2 linked regions of the Oryza sativa Japonica Group genome follow. The protein of the gene in region 1 interacts with the protein of each later gene in a pairwise test. Links are inferred from orthologs where the notes say so. Each region holds a gene or a part of one and is shown on either strand. Other genes may lie near its edges.

The links.
Region 2: the proteins of splicing factor SF3a60 homolog (region 1) and N-alpha-acetyltransferase MAK3 interact in binary tests that used the Arabidopsis thaliana proteins (3 or more experiments, as listed by UniProt). The link is inferred for Oryza sativa Japonica Group from reciprocal best matches to the Arabidopsis thaliana genes ATO and ATMAK3.

The regions. Positions count from the first base shown.
Region 1 is NC_089037.1:29,915,159-29,924,333, reverse strand, and holds splicing factor SF3a60 homolog, read left to right. Parts: upstream 1-674; 5' UTR 675-794; coding exon 795-968; intron 969-1,447; coding exon 1,448-1,558; intron 1,559-2,068; coding exon 2,069-2,173; intron 2,174-2,840; coding exon 2,841-2,983; intron 2,984-3,318; coding exon 3,319-3,415; intron 3,416-3,664; coding exon 3,665-3,823; intron 3,824-3,927; coding exon 3,928-3,999; intron 4,000-4,092; coding exon 4,093-4,254; intron 4,255-5,328; coding exon 5,329-5,406; intron 5,407-5,696; coding exon 5,697-5,825; intron 5,826-6,132; coding exon 6,133-6,279; intron 6,280-6,477; coding exon 6,478-6,624; 3' UTR 6,625-6,870; downstream 6,871-9,175. UniProt on the Arabidopsis thaliana protein: Splicing factor homolog to SF3a60 that may be involved in pre-spliceosome formation. Is necessary for gametic cell fate determination.
Region 2 is NC_089045.1:21,018,888-21,028,632, forward strand, and holds N-alpha-acetyltransferase MAK3, read right to left. Parts: upstream 5,600-9,745; 5' UTR 5,529-5,599; coding exon 5,334-5,528; intron 5,231-5,333; coding exon 5,104-5,230; intron 3,603-5,103; coding exon 3,547-3,602; intron 3,326-3,546; coding exon 3,110-3,325; 3' UTR 2,954-3,109; downstream 1-2,953. Other genes in the region: uncharacterized protein, read left to right, coding at 27-140, 727-1,220, 1,514-1,937; uncharacterized protein, read right to left, coding at 9,198-9,745. UniProt on the Arabidopsis thaliana protein: Probably required for N-acetylation of some chloroplast precursor proteins and efficient accumulation of thylakoid multiprotein complexes.

The sequences.
Region 1 (9,175 bases):
AAAATCCTTGCATAGCCTGCCAAACACAACCTCACTCACCAGACAGTGATTTTATATTTTAGATTTTGATGTAGGATTACTTCTAATAAAAAGACACCTAAACTTATTATTAGTTAGCTATTCCTTTTTCTCAGTTCTAACTACTAATGAAAAAAATTCAAATAAAAAAAACTTAAACTCACTGTTAAAATTAGAGCTAAAAAATTCAAAATGTGTGAGTAGATTCTAGCCAAAACTATACATAACAAGCACACAGAGAAAGAAAAGCCAATAATAAAATGCCATATAAGGTTTATTTGGGGATCTTCCTACGGCTGAAGATTCTTCTAGAAACTGCAACTAATTTTGAGAAGCTATAGTTATATAGTTATAGAATAAAAAAATAAACTAAAAATCAGAATAACCTTTATAAACTCTTATTAACTAATTTATCACAATTGTTAAGCTCCCAAAAAGAGAGCGGATCACGAGGTTTGGAACCTTGGATTCTCAACCCCTTTATATCATATTTCACGCGTACATTTTTCAAACTGTTAAACGGTACATTTTTAAAAAAATATATATAAAAATTGCTTAAAAAATCATATTATAAACATAACACAGCCGACTGGCCGAACGGCCAAGAGCCTCCCCTTTCCCATCTTAACGCGCCGCGTCCACCCGAGCCGGTTTCTGTAGCCTCCTACACTTACCGTCACCGACCGCGAAAAAATTCCCCCAAAACCCTAGCGGCGGCGGCGCGCGCTCCCCTCCCCACCTCCGCCGCCGCGGCGTCGAGGCAGCACCGGAGGGCGATGGCGTCGACGGTGCTGGAGGCGACGCGGGCGAAGCACGAGGACATGGAGAGGCTGGAGCGGCTGGCGGTGCGGGAGCTGCAGCGGGAGCCCGCCAACGCGCGCGACCGCCTCTACCAGTCCCACCGCGTGCGCCACATGCTCGACCTCGTCATCTCCACCTCCGGCAAGCTCGTAAGCAACCCCCCTCCTCCCTCCCCCCTTCCCTCAGCCTAGGGTTTTCCCGGTTGACTCATGGATGCACTAGATTTTGTTTCGTTCTGAGCTATGTTGCAGCTAGGGTTTGATGATTTCGCATGTCGGTGCATCTGTGATGCTTAGGTTTTGCGATATACTCTGAATCGGGGCTACTTAAGGTGGACTCGGGGCTGCAGAGTTGTTCTAAGATAATATTCTCCTTTTGTTGGTTTGGCTATGCTTATACGTATTAATTCATTGGAGATGGGAATTCTAGCTAGGCACATGGATTTTTGGGCCTTTTGCCTGCCAAAGTCTAAGGCAAATGTCATGGTGATCTTAGATGATTGTTTCCCTGCTTGTTTTGCCTCAGTTTATGTTGTCTGACTGTCCGACTGAGAGATGCATAATGGCATAATTAGTCATTTTTATGCGGTTACATTTTGCTTTTGCTAATGTGACTACATTTTACATAGGTGGAAATCTACGAGGACAAGGATAATGCTAGGAAGGATGAGATCTCCAACCATCTTAGTTCCACAGTGCAAGCTGAAATCTTTCCAAAGTTCTATGACAGGCTCAAAGAGGTAATGATCTATCATATTAGCCTGACTGTATCACATAAATGCATATAATTTGGGGGTATGCCATCGAATTAGGACAGCTGAAAATGATAAACCACTTATGGTGCACTTCACATGCTAAAAGAGCATCACACGCCTTCTCTTCTATTTTTTTTGTCCCTTTTAGTCTGTTTTGTGTACCAAAATCTGGCTAACCGATAACTGAAATGATTTTACAAGCTAAACTTTGTTTTCCAAACATTTAAATGGTCAACAAGCAAAACAATTAGTAGAACAGAATTTCGCTCACCAAGAGTCGTCTTTATTGAACTGTCTGCAACTCTGCATATTGGCTATATTTCCTGTTATGCACACCTTGTTGGTCCTGCTTGTTTCCTAATTGTTGCCCTGTGACCATCTATCCTCTGTGGTAAACACATGCCATCCAAACCAAAACCATGTTTGTGGAGGGCTATTCTTGGTGCATTTGTTCCGTTTTAACTTCTAATCTGTTTACTTGTTTCATGTTTGCAGATCCGTGATTACCATAGGCGTAATCCTTCTGCCCGTTTCGTTAGTGCAACTGATGATTTCGAAGAGCTACTAAAGGAGGAACCGGCTATTGAATTCACTGGAGAGGTATTTAACTTGTAACATTTTTTTCCTTGTAATCTTGCCTTTGTTTATCTTCGTACTGGTACATCATAATGTATACCATGTTTAAACTGAGTACCTGTGAACTTATGTTGACTATGTGTGCTCTGTACACTTCAATAAAGCAGTTTGCTCTGAGTATTTAGAAATGATTGGGGGCATACAAAGCATGTTTATATATAATTCTCTTAACAGAAGTTGGTAACTCCGTTACATAGGTTTGTTTTTAACCTTGATTGAATAGTCATACATATCCAAGATATTTAAATGATCGATAGAGTCCTTGTACTTCATTAAGTCCATCAGCACCTTCCACCCCTTTTAACTGCAGTAGTCTTGAACTCGAAGGTATCTCCATTGTGATACGTGTATTTTAATTTCTGCAGGATTGTTTGATTCCTCTTGTAGGATCTCGGTGGTATACATGGTAAGATTTAGGCAATGATACCATTATGGCGCAAGAACCATAACTTGAGAAATATTCTTTGCTATTCATGTTAAAATCTTTACTGACCTGGTTCTATGCACACAATGTACTTCTAATCCAACCAGAGTCGCATCGCATGTCCACCACTGTGGTTGTCATTGCTATGTACTATTTTATCATTGCTGAATTCAAGTATGCTAATGGTTTGGTTCTGCAATTTAATAGGAAGCTTTTGGCCGATACCTGGACTTGCATGAGCTTTACAATGAGTTCATAAATTCCAAGTTTGGAACTCCAATGGAATACTCAGCATATGTTGGCACCTTTTCTCATGTGGAGAAGATGGCACAAAATCTGAAAACCTCCAGGTATGCTGTATGCATTTTTTGCTTAGACCAAAAACATGTCCCCTGACCTGAATTTTGAATTAAGAATGTGCATGTCATGCTGCTTAGGTCTGTTTGCTTTCTTTTTTTTTTCTTCTGGTGGAGGTTTAGGGTAGAAAGGACCTTACGTAATTTTGGAATAATAGGACTATATGTGCTCAAGTATTTGCGTAATTAATCGTAGTTTACTTCTTTATCCTGTCTAGTATTTGTTTCATGCGTTCTGCATTGTTTTGGATGTAGTACTCTTTTTTTAGATATGCAATAATATGAGTTATGTAAAGGTTGTTTATTTATAATTTTCTTAAATATGACAGGCAATACAGAGAATACCTGGAGCATATTTTGGAGTATCTGACATCATTTCTGTATCACACAGAACCATTGCAAGACATTGAGAAGATTTTTGCAAAGGTTCCTATTCCCTTTACTTTCAATTTTGAGCATCATATGTTTTAGTTTTATTATCCTACTGACTTCTATGTAATGACAATGTATTCTATTTAAGAGTTCAAGCAACTATTTCTAGTGTTTTTAGCTAGGGTTCCTCACTGTTATTTTCACTTTTATGTTCACGTAGACACTTCATTCCTATGTAAGTTAGGCATTTCACACAATAACAAGACAACAAGTAAAAACTAACAAGCAGTACACTTTGTTCAGTTGGAAAGCGAGTTTGAAGAACAGTGGATCAATGGTGAAGTGCCTGGATGGGAGAGCAAGGACCCAGAGAAAGAATCTGCACAAGAGTCAGTAATAGACCTTGATTACTATACCACTGTTGAAGAGCTTGTTGAGCTGGGCCCAGAAAAGTTGAAAGAGGTATGACTTGCAATACGTTGTTATTATTACCTTTTTTTTCCTGTCCTATTATTCAACTTTCGTTGGGCTTTTGTACCCTATTGATTGGTTTTGGTTTTTGCCAGGCTTTAGCTGCTCGTGGATTAAAAAGTGGTGGTACTGTTCAACAGCGTGCTGAGCGACTTTTCTTGTTGAAGGTAATTAATGTACTTTTAAACCTGGATATTCAGCTCATCTTTTTTTAAATATTTACCAAATATTCTGAACTTGTCGATGATTATATCTTGCAGCATACACCCTTGGAACAATTGGATCGTAAGCATTTTGCCAAAGGTTCACACAGTTCTGTCTCCAATGCTACTTCTAATGGTAACAATTTCAAGGATAATTTGAAGAAGGAAATTGCTTTAATGGAAGTAAAGATGAGGCGCCTTTGTGAGCTACTAGATGAGGTCAGCTTTGCCTTGCTCTATGTGTGGCTGTATATATCTTTCCTTTGATATGGACTTGTATAGCTGCATTATCTAATGACATGCTTCTCTTTTACTCCCTCTGTCCCACAAAATATCAACCTAGTACCTGACTTTGACATATCCTAGTACTATGAATCTGGACATATATCTGTCCAGATTCGTAGTACTAGGATGTGTCAACATCATCAGGTACTAGGTTGGTTTTTTATGGGACGGAGGGAGTACTTGTGTAGTCAATCTTTATATATTCTACTTCGGCTTTGATAAGTGTAACCTACTGGGATTTATTAATCCATGCTGTATAGTATGATCCTTTGAATTTGTTAGATCTTCAGGATGCTTTCTTATCTTGATTGGCTAGAAGTCTAGTAGTCTGATATAGGGTGTGTTCGCTATTCCTGGATCCCAACCGGATCCCTCTGCATGGAAAACGGAGCGGTCCATTAGCGTGTGATTAATTAAGTATTAGCTATTTTTTTTTAAAAAAATGGATTAATTTGATTTTTTTTAAAGCAACTTTCATATAGAAACTTTTTGCAAAAAACACACCGTTTAGCCGTTTGAAAAGCGTGCGCGCGGAAAACGAGGGAGAGGATTTGGGAAAAGGGGCATCCGAACACACCCATAGCATGGTATTTCACTCTCATGTGTGGTGTACTGCATAACCAGTGCTGTAAAAGGCACAAAAACGGTTATCTAGGCACTTAAGCATGGAATACACGAATAGCAAAGCAAAACCACCTGAGTATGCATCAGGAGCATCAACTTTTCACAAGATGCTTGTTCTGCTAGGCAGTCATGAAAACCTTAGATTTTGTGCACAAGATAATTAACAAACATATTAAATTACATGTAGGAGAAGTTAAAAAGTACTCTGTTTTGTTCCTTACTACCAAGAATATATAGCAAGGTTAACACTTGTAATTGCTGTGTTTGCTGATATCATGATATCCCATATTTAATGTGTGCCTATATTTTTAATACACCATTTTTATGTCCATAATGAAGTTAACCTGTGCTCATGTTTTGATATATCTTATGCTATTTATGCAGATCATTGTACGGACAAAGGAAAATGCAGAGAAGAAGCTGACTCTCACATATGAAGAAATGGAAGCAGAACGAGAAGAGGTAATCTGCATGCAGCCCTCTTAAATTCTGTTTTCTGATCTGCAAAAGGCCCTGATAGTAGAATAAAGGTCAAAGGTCATGTTGGGTCATACATTTTTTAACAGAGGGAGTAAAGATATGTTTAGTTAGAATTTTAGTTATTAGTGTGATACTTCGCTTCTAATTTTGTCCAAGAGTTCACAACTTGGTTCTACTTTTCCTCTATTTTCTTCTCCGTACTTCACAGAAGTAAAATAATAATATTCTACTCAAAGTACTGAACCTTTTGTCCTTTGTATTTTTTTCTATAGGAAGAAGTGCAAGCTGATAGTGAAAGTGATGATGAAGACCAACAAATCTACAATCCTCTTAAGTTGCCGATGGGTTGGGACGGCAAACCTATACCCTATTGGCTATATAAGCTCCATGGTCTTGGTCAGGTAAATATCTCATTGGTTTATATCTAAAGATTATTTAGTTCATGGCTGTTTTGCTAAATCATATCTTAGTATTACCAATGTTTAGAGCTGCAAAATTCCTGTTTTGCCAAAACAGAATGCTAATTTCTATAGACTACAAATGGTATTTGCATTCTCACATGCTCCATTTATTTTTTGTATTTTTATTCATTTTTCAATAATACCCTGAGCTTCAGCATTGGTGGCATCATTTTCCCATACAGTTCTAGATATTTACATATGATTTTAAATTGTTAACATATCTTAATTGCTATGATTTTTTTGTCAGGAATTCAAATGTGAGATATGTGGAAACCACAGCTACTGGGGGCGACGGGCTTATGAGCGGCATTTCAAGGAGTGGCGCCATCAGCACGGGATGCGCTGTCTTGGAATTCCTAATACTAAGAACTTCAATGAAATCACATCCATCCAGGTAAATCATCACTTTATGCTACCTGTACATCCACTGAATAGCTTAATTTGTTCTCTCAGAAATTTGAGAGAAATGAGTACTTTGCTTAATCTTCCCATATTGGCTGTTTTTATACATGTTCTCAGAAATTACTGTTGCTGCGAATGTGGTAAATTGGTAATGGAAGGGGCAATTGACACCTCTTATTTCTGTTTTCAGGAGGCAAAAGAACTCTGGGAGAAAATTCAACAACGACAAGGGCTGAACAAGTGGCGGCCAGACCTAGAAGAAGAGTACGAAGATCAGGAGGGAAATATCTACAACAAGAAGACCTACACTGATCTGCAGCGCCAGGGCCTGATTTAGAATCCCTGATGCGATCCTAACATTTTGGCCCCTATGGGCTGCTGCTGAAGTGGTTGGCCATTTGTTCTATTGAACTTCGTTGACCTCTGGGTAGTTGTAGCACTCGATACTTGTAGCACCATGGGTACTCCATTGCTCAAATGTTTCTTTTCTACTACATGGTATATTGCACTATATCCCTGTACCCTGTTTGACCATCTGGTATACTGTTTGCACAATCCAGGGTTAAATCGCCATTGTGTCGGAGATGTCGGAGTCAAACTTTATATCCAGAACACTAGAATGGATACTTCTAGAGGCATGCGTCCTATACATCTAATTTTGATAGGTTTAAACATGATCTAGAATGCGCACACAAAGATTATAAAAAAGCATAAAAGGCCAAAGAGAAAAAAGAGAGGAAGGAACGAGGGTGTAGTTTTCAATGTCTCGATGTTTGGTCTCCAAGACTAAAATGTCGCTTTAGTGCCAGCCATCAACGCTGATAGGAATTGGGATAAAAACACAACAAATATGTCGCAAATCAGCAGGCCTAACCTATCCCTGCCAATTGCTTCCAACTACCTATTTATAGTTTTAGAGAACGCCCAATTGGCAGTAAAATACAGCTACTACTGATTGGCCTCTCTAGGGTAATTTTCGCATGGAGTCACAACCCGAATCTATTAAAAACTCAAAACGACAAAATCCAGAGTTTATAAGAAGAATACTTAAATCGTGTGGGCAGGGGGGGAACCCTGCAAGCAACACAGCATATTCACAAGCAAATGAAAGTAGGCAGAGACAAGAGTTCTTGTGCAAGGTTCAATGCTCCCATGATGAGATCGAGATGTCACTTTTGCAAGATGATGAGAAGATCTCATGGCCCACCACTAATTGGGCAAGCTTTGAATTTTCGCTCCTGTTCTGTGTGCTCCATGTTGCATTTTTTTCCCTTTAGGGAAAAGCTAGAGAGGGACCCAATTTGATATGGCTTGTTTCCTGTCTGCCATCAGAAGAGGCAATTTTTTGGATGGGTCAAAATCACCTCGGAAGGTTATCCGGGCTAAATCGGACGGCTGCACACAGATAATAGGGAGCAGGTAACATTGTTTTGTTCTTCAATTCTGCTAGAAGCCTTAACTTCTACTACATGCCAGTTAAGTACTACATCCATGCATAAATATATGACGTTGGTTAGTTTAATTTTGAGCTAATCAACGTCAAACAAAAAATATGGAGGGAGTAGTAAGTGTGGCGGTAGAGTTATGGATGTATAAATTTTACTTATCAGATTAAATTTGTGAACACATGTGGTGATTTGTGTGCGTGTACGGTCTTCCGTGTAATTTAAAAAGGGATTGCCATTCTTCATCTTCAAATTAGGTATACTTATAACTAACTGCCCATGTCAAAGTAGCATTTACATCAGCGAGAAAACACTGCCATGACACTAGAATGGAGTAACATGTCCAAAACTAGGGGTAAAAAGAACGGTTTACACCATCATGACAACTACAATTGAGTAATATGTCCAAAACTAGGGGTAAAAAAAAGGGTTTTTTCAACCCATGGTAAGAAAATAGAATCCAAGTAGTTTTGGAGGCTACCAATGGCAGAGAGGTCAGTCAAAACGAATGAAAAACAAGAAAAATGCGCAGATATACCGTCAGAAAAGGAACGTGACCTTCGTGCTCAATGCTAAGGACCTGTAGAAAGTTTTTTCCAAAAACATCACATCGAATCTTTGAACATATGCATAAAACATTAAATATAGATAAAAATAAAAACTAATTGCACAGTTAGGGGAAATTGCGAGACGAATCTTTTGAGCCTAATTAGTTCATGATTAGCCATAAATGCTACAGTAACCCACACGTGCTAATGACGGATTAATTAGGCTCAAAAGATTCGTCTCGCGGTTTCCATACAAGTTATGAAATTAGTTTTTTTCATTCGTGTCCGAAAACCCCTTCCGACATCCGGTTAAACGTCCGATGTGACACCAAAGAATTTTCATTTCGCGAACTAAACGGGGCCTAAGCCAAACTATCTATCGATCGGCACCGACTTACAATTTTTTTCTTTAATCTTTACTTACAAACAGAAGCTATTCTGCAAATGATTTCATTAGCAAAAAGAAAAATCTTAATTCTTTGTTAATTGTTAGTCATATCAGTACAAGGATGTCGGGATTCTTGCCATGTGAAGAGAAGTACTCCCACTGCAGGACTGGCTGATTGTTGGCAGGTGGTAGTACAATTATTGGCCCATTGCCAGCACTATCATCAGACCAGATAGTCCTGGCTAGATCATAGATCACCGGTGCTGTGCATGCATTGCACGAATCTCTGTTGCTGCTGCTGCCACTCAGCTTAAAATTTTCTCCCCAAATAATTATGATCTACTAGGAGTAGTAGCAGTAGTGCTCCTTAACAGGACCCACAAGACTAGTGCTACTGGTATCAATTATACTACAGGAATGAGTTGAATTGGATCAGATTGTGGCTATCTTTGGGGGAACTTCTCCCAGCTGAAAAAAGCTGCTTCTGCTAGAAGCTGCTCTAAACAG
Region 2 (9,745 bases), on another chromosome or scaffold:
CACTTATGTTCATTTTATTTGTGCAGGTTAAATTTACAGTTGATGGTGATTTCATGCCTATCCCAGAGAGTAGCCTAAGAACTGCTATAAAAGAGAATTATTCCAATGGGAAGTTCAGCCCAGAACTTACCCTTGTGCAGGTAAGGTTGAATCACCATTTGTTGATATTATGATCAGTGTGAAGATGAAACAAATTGGACCCAATCTTAATTTTTATAAAGACCTTAAAACATATTCCTTCTGAAATCTTGTGTGACATACTCACATGTGAATTTTCATCATGTTTGGATTTTGAGGCCTGAAGCTTATTATTTTCCATGTATTGCTTACATAATACAGATCACATCACTTTTTTTTTTTATATTCCAGTCAAACTCATATTCTTTTACTTTAGAGAATGAATAAATTTTCTGATTGTATTTTGCCTGTGTAGTAACGGATTTATGTTTTTTGTGCTGAGAAAATTAATTGCTGGTATATTAGAAGAGAAACACAAGTGGGGCATGATAAGAACATGTACCTCTTTATTATTTTCTTTTGTTTTCTCTCTCTTTTGTGCTATTCTTAAATCTTTTTGTTAATAGTCTGGCGGTGAGATGGAATAGGAAAGAACAATATACCTTTATCTTCCATTTTTTCCCTTCTGCATCAAATTTTATGGGACTTTTGAACTATAGCATACTTCTACTTTATTCTATTTTCATCATTCTTGTTACTCTGCTGTAGGTTGAGAAACTGAGAGCATTGTTTCGTCCAATTATTGTAATGCCAGAATCTGCACTCTTCCATAATGACAGTGACAGGCATCCTGTTCCTCCTGCTGTTTACCTACCTCCTGCTTCTCATCCATCACAGCCAGCTGCTTATGTGCATCAGCAGCACCAAACTTCTTATATTCCTCCTTTGACTGCTCATCCGATGCCACCTGAATCTTATGCACATTCATATGCTCAGATGCCTCCTCCAAACATGCAGTTCACTACACCTCCTTACCATATGTCAACAGCTGAGTATCCATATCAAGCAGCGCACACAGCATATAGTTCATTGCCCTCAGCCAACAATATCTCTATGGCCAACAATCTCTATGGCCAACAATCTCTTTCTGATCATGTTTCGGCTACTGGCTACTATACTGCCCCATATTATGCCGCCCACCAAATTGGCATGCACCCAGTTGATCCTCCAAGATCACACTACTTAGGAACTACATCTGAGAGGTACGCGTTTATGGTTCTAGTACTTCCTGTTTGTCAATTTTATAATGTGTTGGCTGTTTCTCCGAACCGAATTAAATTATGTTTAGCGTGTAGGCCAATGCTGACAACATTGATGTCTCAAAACTATGTTGTTCAGTTACTGGACATAGTTTGAAAAACTTAATGAACTGATACTTGCAGCCTGCAGGCGCAATAGAGAACCATAATTTGCGATTTTGTCTAAAATCTGAAAGAACATTACTTGCAGCTACTTGGAAGTCTTACTTGTTCCTTGCTACTGTCTTCAATTTCAGAATTACCTACGGTACAGAGCATGAGGCGGCCACGACAAACTTGCAACCTATTAGCCATTATGGGTCCATTCCAAGTGGTGCAACCGCAGCACCTGAGGCAGCTGCGACAAACTCAGAACTAGTTTGTAATTCTGGGGCTACTCCAAGTGCTTCAGCAACTGGGGCAGCTATGACAAACTTACAACTCGTTAGGAATTATGGGTCTATGCCAAGCAGTGTGATTGGAGCTGCGGCACATTCATCTGAGGGGAGCCAATTCGAGCAGGCAGCCACTTACATCACTCATGCACCTGGAACCTACTACTGTTATGGAGCTTCCTCGGCGATCTACTCCTACCCAGGGAACACAGCATCCTGTGATGGAAACAATGTGGCTGCTGCTCCGTCAGTATATGCTGTCGCAGCACCACCAGCATACCAGTGATTACTCCATGGCCAACTGATGTTTCTGCTAACAATGTTATTCTCAGACCAAGTGCTGCTGCTTCTTCATCCTCCTGAGCTTCACATATGCCACCGGATGCACTAGCGATCCCGTATCATCGATGGTGGCCATAACCTCCCCATATAATTTTATCATGTAATTTTTGTGCATAAGGTATTAGAGTGATTCGTCTCCTACATGTAGCTTGGCTAGATTGGTGGCATCCTATGTAGCTGCATGTGTGAGCCAAGATTATATGTAAATACTCCTTGTTTATATTATAAGTTGCTTTGACTTATTTAAGTCAAACTTCTTGATAGTACCTTTGATCAAGTTTATAGAAAACTATAGAAATATTTATAGCACCAAATTAATTTTAGTAAATATAACACTGAATATATTTTGATGGCCTTTTGTTTTTATGTTTAAAATATTGCTATATTTTTCTATAAATTTGATCAAAACTAAATAAGTTTGCCGTGGGAAAAAAATCAAAATGAATTATAATATAGTAACTTCTAGGCTTAACTGTTTTGCAAGGACTTTTAGGCTCATAATGAATATGAAGAATCTTGCAGTTTGTAGTTGGGTAGATGCTGATGTGTGGCATATCCGCATATGCAGGGGTTAGCCAGTAAGATCAATGAATCCATAAATTTAGGAAATGGATCGAAATATTCGAAACGGTATACAAATTCATACCCCAACTACTCTTCTTCCTAGTGCCAAGTAATGAAATATACTCCCTCCGTTTCTAAATATTTGACGCCGTTGATTTTTTTAAATATGTTTGACCGTTCGTCTTATTCAAAAAATTTAAGTAATTATTAATTCTTTTCCTATCATTTGATTCATTGTTAAATATACTTTTATGTATACATATAGTTTTACATATTTCACAAAAGTTTTTAAATAAGACGAATGGTCAAACATATGCTAAAAAGTCAATGATGTAAAATATTTAGAAACGGAGGGAGTATGTAATAAGGCATTCTTTTTCAACCGTCTAACATGGATTGAAAGAAACATAATGCCATGTCAAATAAGATACTATCTTTGAACACATCAATGTTACAAGAGTTACAGCAAAGCTACAAAAGCATCATCAAACTGACATAAAAGAGCAAAATGCCTTGGATCCTAACTCATCCTATCAATCGACCAGAATGGTATCACAAGTAAGGAGAATCCATGTGCTGGTCATCTCTCTCATTGCCTAGCATCATCATTGGATGCATACCAGGATCAGGGCGAGGAAATAGCAGCTTCAGGCGAAATGCGTCGACGCCATTCAGATAGTATCTGTACAGCCTCTTTGCTCGGATGAAACCCAAACGACCATATAAGGCGAGGGCGCCCTTGTTCGTAACTTCTGCTTCAAGTGTCACCTGGTTGGAGAGTGAGTCAGATATCAAATAATTCAATTTTTGTACTAATTTCACGAAAGATATTATTGTTATTATGGAAATTGCAGATTAGTCTAGGGCATAATTGAATAATCAATGAAGCAATTTTACACCAAGAAAGTCAAGTGATGGGTACCAAAACGACAATAGGATAATAATAAGTTTTTCATCGGGTGAGAAGATAACAACACAGTGGTGATTACCTCCTCACAGCCAGATTCCATCATTACCCGAATAGATCTCGTAACCAATTCGGTGGCTGTACCATGAAGAAACAGAGGGTTAGCTGATAAAGGCCAACATAGTGTCCATTTAATTGCTTATTACAGATAAAATTAAAAAAGACAAATGGGGACCATTTGCAAAAGCAAAGCACTTGTATACTTCAGGAAAGCTATTCGAACTGAAGCTGGAGCTTTCGCAATACTCTTAACAGATGACAAAGCTACCATATACTCTATTCATACATCGAGAAAGGTCATTCATGTCAGGCAGGATTCAACAATTAAAGCTGTCAAGATCCTTGCTGCGAATGTCATTACAGAAACAACAAAGGCAATGTTTTTCAGATAAACAGACTATCTGTACCATTGTACCAAGATATATGTAAATATCAGTGTGCATTTCATGATAAAAGTATTATGAAAAATGTACTCCCCACACAGGATATATGCATTAGCAAGTCGCACCACACCTATTTATTGCTACATCAATTATAGTCAGCACGCTTCCAAGTGTATGACACTAAGAAGAAATCATCTCATGCAAGAAGTTGATGTAACGATAAGGTTAGGCTGCATACTACAACATCAGATGAAGTGCTAAATGGCTCCAACCATAAAGAACTAATCGACCAAAATGCTCTCATGTGCCACAGACTGAATCGCTGAAGCACCCAACACGAGACATCTGTCACAGGGAAAACTAAACATGGGAATATTGGTTCATAACACAATACCTACTCCTACACAAAACTAGAAAACCACCTAAACAAAGTTAACTAACATTTTATCAAAATAATAGCACAAATCTCAATTGAAACTGATGAGAGAAGATTATATAGTTTAAGAGAAGGGAACAATAGAAGGCTATTGTACCCATAAAAGAAATAAAAAAATGCCTTTCCTTTCTGCAAATCAAGCAGGCAAAGAACAAAGAAATCCTACTAAATACTTAACATGGCATCGTTTTTAGAAAACCAGTAACACTTAGTAAGCTAGTTTTCGTTCCACTCTGCTACACAGACATATTTCACTTGCTGATGTTAAGACAAAAATAATACCATATCAACACAAAGCAACTATTACAGAGAAAAAACAAGTAAATGGTAGTGTGAAAGGATCATGAAACAAATTAGACTTATAAGACCTATAGCTAGTAATTTCTTGACACATGTAAAAGTGATACTCAATTAAGTTTGTGCAAGCATAACAAGGGAAAAACACCTATTTAGTACATATGGATATCATATCGAAATCGATGGAAGATTGTAAATCCGTACTAAATCGCCCACCACTCCACCAGGTGCCAGCCATTTCAGATCGAATTGGAACAAAAACTGAAAAACCCTTTGCTTTCCTCCCAATCAGCAGGATTCTTAAGTTCTTATTTAGATTCATGAGTGGTCTACGCTTCCTTTCAGGACAGACTTGTGCAGATACTATCAAAGGGAAGAATATGCTCCCTTTTGAAACAAACCAGTCAATCAACCAATCAAACAAACAGAGAAACTCTTCTTGGAGAATCGAAGGAGGGCTCACCGATTCCCCTGCCGCGGTAGGGCTTGAGCACGACGAGCATGGCGATGTACCCCCTGAAGGCCCCCCTGTGCTCCCCCATCTTGCACACCACCGTCCCCACGCACTTGCCATCCTTGGGATCGAACGCCTTTTGAGGGGTTGTCCCCCAAATCAAATCAACCAAGAACGCATCAAATCCTCACGAACTCTTGTGAAACACGCGCGCGAGGTGAGGGGAGGAGAGGGCGTACGAGGAAGGTGAGCTGGGGCCAGAGGTAGACGAAGTAGCGGTAGGTGAAGATGGAGTAGGGCTCGCTGAGCTCCTCGTCCACCAGCGACATCACCAGCGGGAGGTGGTGCTCCCCGCCGTAGCTGACGTACGCGATCTCTCCGCCTCCGCCCGAGGGCTCGCCCCGCTCGGTGGCCTCCGCCGCCGCCGCCGACATCGCCGCCGCCGCAGGTCGCCGACGAGGTACTCCTGTTGGGGAGAGGCACTTGAACCCCACGCCCGTTCTACAATCTTGACACGTGGCGTCACCAATCTTAAAGCAATCACACCTAAAGACTGGAACATACTCCTATGTACTCCACGTCTCCCCCAATCTTTAGCGAGGACATGTTTAAGATTATTACTACCAAAATAAACCTTTTTAAAATTTAGTCAAATCAAAATTTTTGGTAAGTTGATAAAATTGTTTAAGTTTTGATATGATGGAATAAATGTGATGTCACCAATTTCCATAAACATTATCAATATTTGGTACTAAACTAAATGCAACCACAAAATTATCGATTTACCATTGTAAATTATGGTGTCAGTGTGAAGCCCTAAATCTGGAAGACAAGAAATATGGGACAAAGGGAGACTATTTATAGTGGAATTCCACAGCAACTTGCATTAAGACTCGGAATCCCGGAGAACACGCGGGGTATTCTCTAGTTATTATATATGACGACATCCTCCTATATCCTACTTTTCTTTCCTCCGCATCAAAAATTTGTATGTGGCATTTTCTCTCAAATGCTGACGTCACACTATTGTCCATTCTCTTACCTTTCCTTTTCACTTTCCTTTTTATTAAAAAAAATAACTACCAGACCTTGCCTATTTGTTATATATATTAAAAAAAGTTATGTACAAACAAGAAAAGAATAAAAGAAATAAAATTATAACCATTGTAACCAAGAAGAATTCAGGGAGCTAAGAGAGTCATTCATCTTGGACAAAGAAAGACTTCCATTCCATGAGTAATATTCTCAAAGATCTTCCTATTTCTTTATTTTCAGATATGCCTGCAATAAACATTTTTCCTTTCTTATGAATCTAATTCTTGCCAAGACCAACATGTGAAAGAGTTCTAGGTTATCATTCATTTTTGTACCAATTCTCTCCCAACAATTTCTGCTGCAAGGACAAGAAAAGAAAAAGTTGTATGGGAGTTTCTTTTTCTGTACTAAAGCAAATCACTCATAAAAGGTCGCATCTTCTTAAGGATAATATTTTCTATCAAGCATATTTCTCGTATTTAGCCTATTACAGAATATGAGCCACATGAAAACCTTTATCTTCGTAACACATCTTATCTTTTTTACCCATAAGAATGGTCTTGGAGGTGTCAACTCCACAAAGTTTAGACTAAAATTTTTGGGAATTAGTATATATAGTTGATTATTACAAATGAAAGACCAAGTACCACTCATACTGAATCAAATTGGTTTCGTCTTTGAATACTTATTAAAAAAAGTATCATCCTAAATCGTTTCAATTTAAATTGCATTCATGGCATCACATTTTCAATCCCAGTTTGCTTCGTACGCACACTAGTACAATAATGATTTTTCCATGCGGTCAAAAGCGGTTTTCGCGTGCGGATCTTTCGCCTGTCTGGAACGAAGTATCTGTGAAAATCCGATTTTTTCGTGCAAGTGAAGCACCCACACGTGAAAATCAAAAGCCGTCTTGGAACCCTAATCCAGCCGCCACCACCGCTGCCGGCCTGCCCGAGGCCCATCGCCGTTGTCCCCGCGGTCGCCGGTGACGGATCCAGACGCCCAAGGCTGGGAGACCGTTGCCGCCACCGCCGCCGTCGCCGCCGCCTTGCCCAAGGCCCACCGCCATCGTCCCCATGGTCGTTGGCGACGGATTCACCCGCCATCAACAAAATTATCACTAATTCTCCAATTAACAAAATGCCCGCTAGTTACACAAAGATTCATGAGCAACCTATGTGCAATACAACAAACCACCAACAGTTTAAAAACACTCCTAATTAATCCTAATGAATCGATCTTGAACAATTCACCTCTCGAGTCTCGGCCATGATCGGATAGACAACAAAACCAAAAGCACATAACATGGGGCAGGACTAATAGAAAGTATGATGGTAAAAATTGCAAAGTGAAGCATGTCAATTTCTACAGGACAATAGGACATATCGTCAATAGAAACCAAGATAAAATAATAATTAGTAGATAGAAGATTTTAGTACATTCATAGCAGCAAACACGCACTATAGTGATCTTTGTTGGTAGACACCATAGGAACGTCAATTTGCTCAAGAATAATTTGCTGCTGGACACTAACACCATTAAACTATTATTTTCATTCGAGCCAGAGAGAGAATTTAACAAAATGGCACTGTTGCCCTCTCTTCTTCACCATGGAGATTGGGGGGGCAGGGGGAGAGGTTTGGAGATTGGGATTGTGTCGTCGGTGGAGGAGGGAGGAGCGGGCGTGGGTCCCGGACAGCCGTTGCTAGAGGTGAGTGTTAGAGTATATGGTAGTTAGAGTCATATTAGGATATGATTGATTTGTGTGGACTCCTTCCATATGTGTAATCCTTCCTTATCTCCTCCCTAAGTACTCTTATATATACCGGTCCCCTGACTCAATACAATAGATCCACGTTATGCAGTATTCCTCTCGTCTCTATGCTATCCAACATGGTATCAGAGCGGGCGACCTAGGACTGCCGCTCACCGCTTCCGCTGCCGTCGCCCCCTAGGGGGCTGCCACCTTTTTTTTTTTACCGTGTTGCTCCCGATCTGCTAGCCACCATAGGCAGCAGGGCCGGTAGCTTCGAGCTGTGCCACATACCGCTACGGGGAACAAGGTCATCCGTGCCATCTGCAGCAGAGACGGCGAAGGGCAGCGCTGGTGGAGCAGAAGACAAGGCACGATTTGTTGAGGTTGTAGCCCATCTTCTCCAGGCATGGGCACACCATGCACTCGACCATCGCCGGTGGCCTTCACACGATGCGAGCGTCTCGCCATCACCTGACGACAGGTGCTCTCTGAGCGTCCGCTTGTTCACCCTCCGCACGTCATAATTCCACCCGTCCTCTTTGCCGCACCACCTTGCTCACCATTTACCACACCTTGAGCCGTGTCAGGTGCATCGTCGCCCACCGGGCATCTCGTCCTCCGTCCTATTGCCCACAGGTGCTACGCAGGGATCTCGTCGTCCTATTGCCGGAAGATGACTGTGAGAATGGGGGAGAAGATAGGGGGTAAAACTAACATTTTGCATGTTTTCTCTCTCATCAATGAGATGTATATTATATTTTAATGCATACGTGTCCTAGGGTAAAATGCCACATTTTTAAAGTGTTATTGGGCAAATTCATGTTTTTGGGGTGTCTGGCAACAAAACTATATATTTTAAATGCCATGTAACAAATTTTGCCATCTTCCTTATGTCCCCTTATGTAGACAACCCTTCAGTTGCTCTTCCTCCTACCTTCCGCAGTCAAAATTTTAAATTTAATTTTAACTTACTATAGTATAATTTATTTTTTAAAAGCTACCAAAATACTACATCGTGACCTCCATTGTAGAGCTAGTGATTCGATAGTGTCCCAATTCAAAGTGACGTAATTTATTTTTTTTTCATGAGGGCACTCATAGCTCAACTCAAGTAGACCAATGCCAAACCCACAGGTCTGTAGTCGCCTTCGGTAAGTGTAAAACTTTCGTAAATCTGCGACACAGTTACAAAGCCACAGCGTGATAGGCTGATAGCTCGTCCAAGTTATTAGCACAAAAACATTATTATTATTATTATTATTATTATTATTATTATTATTATTATTATTATTATTAAATACGAAATGAGCTATGGCCGTGGATTTGCTCGAGACATATCAACGTCCTCCCACACAAAGTAGGAGCACACCGCCCCTCTCGCCGGCGTCCACCTGCCGCACCCGAAGAAGCGCCGCCCCTGCGTCGGCCCCGGCCTCCGCGCCACCCCCACCCTGCTCGCCACGCCGCACTGGCAGTAGTGCACGCGCGCGCCACCGCCGCCGACTCCCGGCGCGGCGGCCGCCGGCGTCGCGGCCGCGCTGGCGCCAATGGCGACCAGCTGCGACGGCGGCCGCGGCGGCGGCGGCAGCGAGCCGGTGATGGCGAGCCTGACCCCTCCTCGCCGGCGCATCAGGAGCGCGAGGAGGCGCGCCGTGTTGCGCGCGTCGTCGAGGCCGCTGTGCGGCCGCCCCTCGAACGCCAGCCCGGCCACGGCGAGCGCCTCCTCCAGTCCGATCCGGCGGGCGCCGCCGCGGTCGAACACCTGCCGGAAGGGGACCTTGAGGTTGATCCACCGGTCGAAGTACTCCGGCTTGCCGTCGCCGATGATCCCCTTGAACCGGCACTCCCCCTCCAGCA